Cricetulus griseus: one gene and its partner. The protein of the gene in region 1 interacts with the protein of each later gene in a pairwise test. Links are inferred from orthologs where the notes say so. Each region holds a gene or a part of one and is shown on either strand. Other genes may lie near its edges. The genes, in order: Chaf1a and Mbd1.

What was found.
Region 2: the proteins of Chaf1a (region 1) and Mbd1 interact in binary tests that used the Homo sapiens proteins (3 or more experiments, as listed by UniProt). The link is inferred for Cricetulus griseus from reciprocal best matches to the Homo sapiens genes CHAF1A and MBD1.

The regions. Positions count from the first base shown.
Region 1 is NC_048598.1:97,507,904-97,512,455, reverse strand, and holds the start of Chaf1a (chromatin assembly factor 1 subunit A), read left to right. Parts: upstream 1-1,705; 5' UTR 1,706-1,823; coding exon 1,824-1,863; intron 1,864-4,552. UniProt on the Homo sapiens protein: Acts as a component of the histone chaperone complex chromatin assembly factor 1 (CAF-1), which assembles histone octamers onto DNA during replication and repair.
Region 2 is NC_048595.1:165,541,307-165,545,114, reverse strand, and holds part of Mbd1 (methyl-CpG-binding domain protein 1), read left to right. Parts: intron 1-331; coding exon 332-442; intron 443-525; coding exon 526-594; intron 595-1,177; coding exon 1,178-1,345; intron 1,346-1,668; coding exon 1,669-1,965; intron 1,966-2,053; coding exon 2,054-2,200; intron 2,201-2,558; coding exon 2,559-2,690; intron 2,691-2,777; coding exon 2,778-2,851; intron 2,852-3,039; coding exon of another isoform or gene 3,040-3,073; exon of another isoform or gene 3,074-3,217; intron 3,218-3,808. UniProt on the Homo sapiens protein: Transcriptional repressor that binds CpG islands in promoters where the DNA is methylated at position 5 of cytosine within CpG dinucleotides. Binding is abolished by the presence of 7-mG that is produced by DNA damage by methylmethanesulfonate (MMS).

The DNA of each region.
Region 1 (4,552 bases):
CGGGCAGATAGATGGATCTTTGAGGTTGAGGCCAGCCTGGGCTACATAACCGGTTCCACACCATTCTAGCATGACTTGGAGATTAATAATAAAATGGGGGTGATGAGTAAATAGATCCTAAAGCAGGAACAGGAAAATGTTTAGGGTAAAGAATTTTAAAAATCTGGTGTTGAAATTGCTGACAAGTGATTCCATGAAGCCAAGATTTCTGGAAGGTTCCCAGTGACTCAACAGAATGCAGTGTGGTAGATGAAAAGAACATGTGAATGTCATCCTTATTGCTCATGACTATAGGAGCCTTTGTACATGGTGGATTACGAATAGGTTTTGTTTGAGACAGGATCCCACATAGCACAAGCTGGTCTTCAATTCCTGATCCTCTTGCCTCACCTTCCTGCTCCTGCAATGACAGGCTTATGACGACAAGTCTGGTTTCAAAAACGTGTGTGTGTGTGTGTGTGTGTGTGTGTGTGTGTGTAACTGGAGACTGCAGCCAGATTCCTAGCATGCTAGCCACCACAGGTTGATACAAGGATGTTCTTTATTTTATATGGGTTTTGAGATGGAGTCTCATGGAGCCCAAGCTGGTGTCAACTTCAACCTGCCTTGGCCTTTAATTCTGGATCTTCCTGCCTTCCTCTCCCAAGTGCAGGGTTGACAGGTGTACAAGAAGATCTGCACAGTGCAATCTGATTATACTTCCGCAGCAAGTCAAAGGTTTGATGAGATCCTTGACACTTTCACTGAGTTTATGGCCAAAAAGCAATTCATACAGTTATTCTATTAAGAACCCACTTACTAGCCACAACTTCAAGAAAAGAACTGTTGTGGGCATTGAGCTGTTTGCAGATGAAGGAGGGAAAGGTTTCTTTCTCCACCTAACAGATGAAACATTTTAGAAACTGGTTGGTGGGTACCAGGCCAGCACGGCTGCATTGTGAGATCCTGTCTCAAAAAAAGGAAAGAAAAAAAAGAAGGCAATTAATAATGTTTTGATACATTGTATCGCTGGCTGGCCTGGAACTGGCTATGCAGACCTGGCCTGGATGTCTTCAAAGTCACAGAGATCTGCCTGCCTCTGCCTCCCAAGTACTAGGGTTTAAAGCTCCCACCACCAAACTCAATGAACAATTTTTTTAAATTAATATATCTTCAAAGTAATTCACACTAAAAAGGTAATTAACGACTTTGAAAGTAATTTATAATCTTACAACAAAAAAATTCTACTTATAAATAAAGCAAATCGTAATTTTTAAAAAAGCGGTTCATCATTTCAGAAAAGTAACTCATATTTTTTTTAAGTAATTTATAGTTAAAACAGGAAGTACTTGTGAATTAACAATGAAAGGAAGTGATCCCCAGTTTTAATTGCTGTAGCTACTTTGAACCAATCACTAATTAGGATAAACTCACTTCAGATTCCTCCTCTAATCAGTAATTTCAAGTTGTCACTGGCGCGGATCGTGACGTAACCGCCCCACTTCCTCCCACGAATAGCCAATAAAAGGGAGGGCTCTTAGATTGACATTGCATCCTACCAGTAGAAACGTGCCGCTCCGTAGCCACTCAAGAACCGCCGGAAAGGAGTCCTCCTCCTTCCACCTCCCGCGGGATTTTTGGGCGTATGACCCGCAGTTCTCGCGAGGACGCGCCGAGCGCCCCTCTTTTCCTGAGGCAGGGCTGTCACGTGACGGGCTCCCGTCCAATCGGCGCACGGGCCGCGGTGGTTGCCGCGGTTCCCGCCAAATACGAGCGCGGCGGCCGCGGCGGCAGCAGTAGCGCCACCGGCGGGAGGCGGAGAGCGTAGCGGGGTCGCCGCCGCGATGCTAGAGGAGCCGGACGCCGCGACGCCGCCAGCCGTAGGTGGGTGAAGCTGCGGCCCGAAGGACCGGGTCCGCGCCCGGTGCTTGGGGGCTGAGATGCGGAGACGCGAGGGCTCGCAAAGGGGAAACTGAGGCCCCGGGGAGGGGGAAGGGTCAGCTTTGCAGGCTCCCGAAGGTTCCGTGTAGCCCAAATAACGAGGGCCTAGTAGCTGATGGGGAAACAGGCCCCGGGTCGCCCTTGATGGGTCCTGAATGCATCTGTGTCCTCTTGTTGCAGGTGGGGAAACTGAGGCCGGGAAGGGGGGTAGCGTCACTTTTGCAAATTATTAAATGTATTTGCGAATTCTCGAGTGAGTCAGACCTTTGCAGTGGGTGGGGAAACTGAGGCCTGTGGTCACTTGAGCTCTGGACACCAGAGTACCCCGCAGCTGTCTCGGGCAGGGCAAGCCCAGGATGATGGAGACTTTGCCTGGCAAGCATGACCAGGAAGCTCGCTTTTGTGAGTGTGATATAGCCCTGCGGGGTACGTGTCAGGACTCTGTGTAGCATGAGGCAGGCTTCCCTAAATGTGGGGTGCCTAGTCCCCCTGCTTGACTCTGAATTGTACTCCCAGCAGTTGGCACGGAATCCTACCCTGAGTCCTACCCTGAGACTGGAGGGGGTCGCATCCTGATGGACTAAGAGTTCACCAATTGAGCACCACTTGGGGCACTTAGGATGGTCCCTTCTGAGTATGTTATACCAGTCTGAAAGCTTGGACGTTAGTGGATAGGCAGTTTCTGGGATAGAGAGCAGCGTCCTCCATCTCCATCCACTTCTGGGATAATTCCGGCCCTCTGCTACGGTTCTGACCACCAAAGATATGCCACCCCCACCCCCAAACACACACACAGCCCAGTAAGATCCAGCAAGGCTGGATCTGTTGTCCTGACTGGCTTAAGATTTTATGAAGACATAACTAACATTCATAAAACTACCTAGACTATCATGGAGCATTGTTTTTGTTTAACCAAGGCAGAACTTTTTTACCAACACTATTGGTAATAAAGACAAGATGGGTGTGGTAATTTGTACCTGCAGTTCCGGCATCTTAGAAGCTGAGGCAGGAGGATGATGAGCTCCAGGTTGATCTGGCCTTTCACCATCTGAATTCTATCACAGGTAGAAGGAGAGAATCAATCCCACAAGCCTTCCCAACAACAAATTAATTAAAATGTAATAAAAATTCTAAAGAAAGGATGTCTTTCAGGAAAACCCATATTTTTTGGCAGTAGAAAACAGGGCAATGTTACCTTTCTTCCATTCAAATAGGAGAAAAGGGGCATGGGTGTTCTAGGTAGGAGTCCGAGTCTAAGCCGGGGTGACGAGGCTGTCTCCACTCTGGACAGCTGAGGTTGTCCAGAGTTGAGTCTGAATTTCATATAGCAAAATGTATGGGAATGCTCCCCATATTACTGAAGGGGTTTTTTGTTCACTTAAAAAATCGCCTCGCAGGTGGAGTTTCTACACCTGAGCCATCTGTTTAAAGGCATTTACTCAAAGACAGGTTCTGAGCCAGGCATGGCGGTGCATGCCTTTGGGAACGGAGGGAGGAGGATCTCTGTGAGTATGTAAGCTAGTCTGGTCTATTTATTAAGTTCCAGGACAGTCAGGGCTACATAGAGAGCCACTGTCTCAAAACAAACAAAAAAACAGTTCTATTTATGGCTCTACATGCATGGATTTTGGTGTGCTTACATACTTCCTGAGGTTTTTATTTTAGTGAGAAATAGTCTCTCTTGGGGTCTTTTATTTTTTAGTTATTTTTAAAACAAGGTCCCGTGTAGCCTAGGCTGGCCTCTACCTCCAAGTGTCACCTTGCCTGGCTTCTGCAGGGCTGTGGATGGAACCCAGAGCTTCCTGCATGTTAGGACAGTGTGCTACCCATTGAGCTCAACCCAGGTTCCTTCTTATGCCTTGACATAACTACAGCTTCTGCCACAAAATGTATTCATTTCATTTACTTATATATTCATCCGTTTAAGACTATGATGCCTTTGCTTGAAAAATAATTTTTAAGTTGGTTTACTTAAAGATTTACTTGATATTATGCATCTTTGTATGTCTCTGTCCATGTGAGATAGGTACCCATGGAGACCAGAGAGGGCATCGGATCCCCTGGAGCTGGGCTTGTAGTTGTGAGCTGTTGAATCTGATGATGGGACCAGAGCAGCAAGTGCTTTTAATTGCTGATCCCCTGTCTATCCCCACAGTCACTGTGTGTGTGTGTGTGTAGGTCAAAGGACATGTGGGAGTTAATTCTCTCCTTCCCCTGTATGGGTCCTGGGGATTGAGTTCAGCTTGCCAGGCTTGGAAAGCGCCCCTACCCACTGAACTCTCTCACCAGTTCATGTGTTTTTTGAGGTAGCTTTGGGCAGTTTAACCATAACTAGAATTCTATGTGGCCCAGAGTGGCTTTGAAGTTGAGGCAACCCTCCTACCTCTACCTCCTCAGTCCTGGGATGACGAGCATCACCTCATGATTGGCTCTTCTGTGTGTTCACTCATGCCCTTGCTTTTTGCTCACTGTTCATCAATTTCCAGTGTATTCAAGCGCAAAGGAGGGAAGTCTGGGTACAGCATGGATCAGGTCACTGTGCTGGCATCCAGTAGGGGACATAATACAACAGTTTGTGAGCAAGGCCCACAGAGAAACTCAACGCAGGGTACCGAGTCTAGTGTAGAATTGC
Region 2 (3,808 bases), on another chromosome or scaffold:
GGCCAGTGCTCATTCTGCTATTAAATTTACCACCATGGCTGCTGTTGCTTCCGCCTAATCTGGCTTTGCCTGCCTCATGTCATATTTTCTTTTCTGTCCCATGCTCACCTCCTTGGTTCTGCCTATCTGCCTTTCTCTGCCAGCACTTTGCTCATCGTTTCCGTGGCCACCCTCAAGGATGTCACCGGTGCCCTCCCCAGGTTGTGGTTTCCCCCACTGTGAGTGTCTGACTGCACACTCCACCTGACCAGTCAGTGCATGGCTCCTGCACTCCCCGGGGGTCCAGTGTCTACTTGGTACCACCAAGCCTTAGCTGGCTTTCGACTTCTAGGGTAAACATAACTGTCGTAAGAGTGGCTCGAAGGTGGCTGCCCAACATCACTCCCAAGCTCAGCCACGGCCTCCACTTCCTGCATCGAAGCACCCAAAGCCCACAGAGCTGGTAAGGCCCTGGTGGGCAGGGGGACGGCACAACCCTAAACTTACTCAGGACCTGCCCTGACCCCAGCACATTTGCCTCTGCAGCACATCAGCGACCTAGCGCCCACATCACCTGCTGAGCTCATCTATTACTGTGTAGACGAGGACGAGCTAGTGAGTGGCCCCACCTTACCTGGATAAACCTAGATGCCCCTGATGCTTCTGTAACCCCAAGGAAGCAGATGCTGTAATGGGACAAGTAGGGAGTAATAGTGCATACTAGGATGGATAAGCAATTACTGGGGAAGAAGGAGTTAGCAGTGCTGTGCTTACTGTCAGATGGACCAACATCAATGGCTGGTGCACGACAAACAGGCTGAATGGTGACATTCACAAAGGTGCAGGTAAATACGTTTGTATAGAGTAACTAGTCAACACAGCTGGCGGTGATGAGGACTAATTGAAGGTCAGCAGAGTCCTGGTGGAAGTGAGGGCCAAAAAAGACATTGTCTGGATAGCAGGTGCTCTAATAATACAGTAATGGTGCAGCCTCAGTCCTAATGGTCTTGGAGGCCAGCTGGCACAGTGATTGTGGCATAGTTTGAAATCTCAGATGCCGAGGAGAGGTTGTGGGCTGAGCCTCATGTGTAGCTAGCTCCTCATGGGGGCTAGAGGAACACCAGGAACTACTGAAATGGGTGTTGAGGACGGCCTCTCCTAGTCTTAGTGACAGTAGCACCATTCCCCTCCACCCCAGCAGCCCTACACGAATCACCGGCAGAACCGCAAGTGCGGGGCCTGTGCAGCCTGCCTACGGCGGATGGACTGTGGCCACTGCGATTTCTGCTGCGACAAGCCCAAATTCGGGGGCAGCAACCAGAAGCGCCAGAAGTGTCGTTGGCGCCAGTGCCTGCAATTTGCTATGGTGGGTGGGGCAGGAAGGGTTAGGTGGATGGGCTAGGTTGGGCCTGGCCCACCCCCGCGTTTGGGAGTGGTAGGCAGGCCTGGTAGATGGGTGGGTGGTGTATTGACTCCAGTTTAGGATTCACAGACAGTGTGTTGGGGTGAGTCCAGCTCTCCTGCCATTACTAACAGGAGATGGATTATCAGGCTCAGTGATGAGAGCTCATGTTAGCAGCAGGGTCTCTGCTGGGTCTGACAGGAAGTTAGCAGGCACATTGAGTAGGGCAGGGTGGGTAAGGTCATATGGCACCAGGTTGACCACAGCACTTAATCTTTTTCTCACAGAAGCGGCTGCTGCCCAGTACTGGGTCAGGGTCTGAGGAGGGAGCAGTGTCACCCCCACGTCATCCTTGTCGAAAGAGGCCTCGTTCTCGACAGCTCCATGTGAGCCCTTCCTCAAAGGCCCCTTTGGCTGTGCTTACAATCCCACCAGGCCCTGCCCAGGCTTCAGCCAAGCAGCAAGTAGGTAGAGACTCTGTGCTGCCCCCACCTGACACAGACCTTGTGTTTTTACGAGAAGGTGCCAGCAGTCCTTTGCAGGTGCCTGGCCCTGCTGCAGCTTCCTCAGAAGCCCCATTACAGGTAAGGATCTCTCCCCACTCTTCCAAGCTCCACCCAGCCTTGTGCCATGGAGCTGAGACCAAGTCTGTTGCCCTCTTTTCTTATGCAGGAGGCCCAGTGCTCTGCCCAGAGTTGGGCTGTGACCTTGCCTCAGGTGAAACAAGAGAAGGCCGATGCTCCAGAGGAGTGGACAGCAGGCACAGCCTTTCTGACTTCATCCACGTTGCAGCCTGGCTGCCCTAGCAATGTTGAGGAGGTAATGAGTGTCCTATGGGTGCCATACAAGTGGTCTGTAACCAGAATTATAGTGAGCCATGATGGTGGTACTGGGAATAGTGATGGTGTGCTGATGATGACCAGTCTGTTGAATTATCCAGCATATCTAGCAGGTGCTGTACTCTCCATAGGCAACTAAGTTTGCCTGCCATACTGCCCAGCTCACAGGAGACTGAAGATTGTTGAGGAATGGCAGAGAGATGGCATTTCTTAGTGATAAAAGTGAGGTCTATCTGCATAATGGGTTGGCTAATTAAAAAAAAAAAAACAAAAACAAAAACGAAAACCTTGCTTCAGGCTGACCCTGTCCTAACTACTGCCCTTCCTCATTCTCCTAGGCAGTAGACCCAGACCTTGTACCTGTGAAACAAGAGCCTGCTGGCCCTGAGGAGGATAGAGAAGAAAACAGACAAGATTTTGTCTCTGCATCAGCCCCAGAGGAGGAGACAGGAGGGGTTGGCACACCAGTGGTCAGTGCTGGGGGACGTTCCCACCCTGCCCTGATCTTGCTTTCTCTCCTCCTGTCATGCTGACCCATGATGTTAATTCTTTCCTAGATCACAGAGATTTTCAGCCTGGGTGGAACCCGCCTCCGGGATGCAGCAGCCTGGTTGCCAAGGTGCCCCATACAGTTAGGTGTGGGGATGGGGTGGGTGCCTGCCACATGTGGGCCCTTAGTTTTAAACCTAGGGTCAGCAATTTGATTGGGTGCAGAGGGACATAAAGGCCTGCAACCGTTCCACTGCACAAACAGTAAGGGGGTATTTTGTGCAGTACTGTGAAGATTTGCTCTTGAGATCCAGCCTGTTGGTATTCCAGGGCTCTCCTCTTGGGAAAGGAACAGAAGGACTGATGTGCCGTGATGAAATTGGAAAGAAAACAGATTAAGTGAGGCTGGTCCCCTTTTAAGGGTCAGACTTGACATAAGCATTCTTACTCAGAAGATCACCATTTATGGTCTTGAAGGCCTTAGAAGTCTCCATGAGCCCATTATTGGGTGAGCTGTCCCTGATGATGGGAAGAATGTGTGTCACACAGATGACATTGGACTTGCCCAAGCAGTGGAGTTAGGGGATTGGGCTTTAAGTGGCTCTGCAGGCTGAGTCTGTGTGTAGCTGTGTGATCTCAAGTGTGTCCCCCACTTCCTAGAGTAGCCTCTGTGGGAGATTTGGGCTGTGTGTCCCAAACCTTTCCTGTTGAGTTTACTGTTTCAGATACTGTAGAACTGACCCAGTTAAGTCTAGTAACAGAGGTGAGAAGAGATGCCATTGTGGTAGTGGAAGGAGGACCACCCCCAAGGTTAAAAAAAAAATCTCCTGGGCCAACCACCTGGGTGCCATTGCTCCCACACACTGGTTTTAATGGCTAGGAAACCTGATAGTGTAGGAGATGGAGATGACTGAGACCCTGCCTGGTGTAGAGCAGATGGGGACTTCCATTGGTGATGATACTGCAGCCTGTAAGGCTTACCCATGAGGAGATAGAGGATCCCTGGCTTCTAGGAGCTTATGATTTTCTGGAAATTGAAATTATTCTCTCTTAACAGAGAAGTGCTATACTGTTTACCTTGCTAGTCTATAGAAGAAAG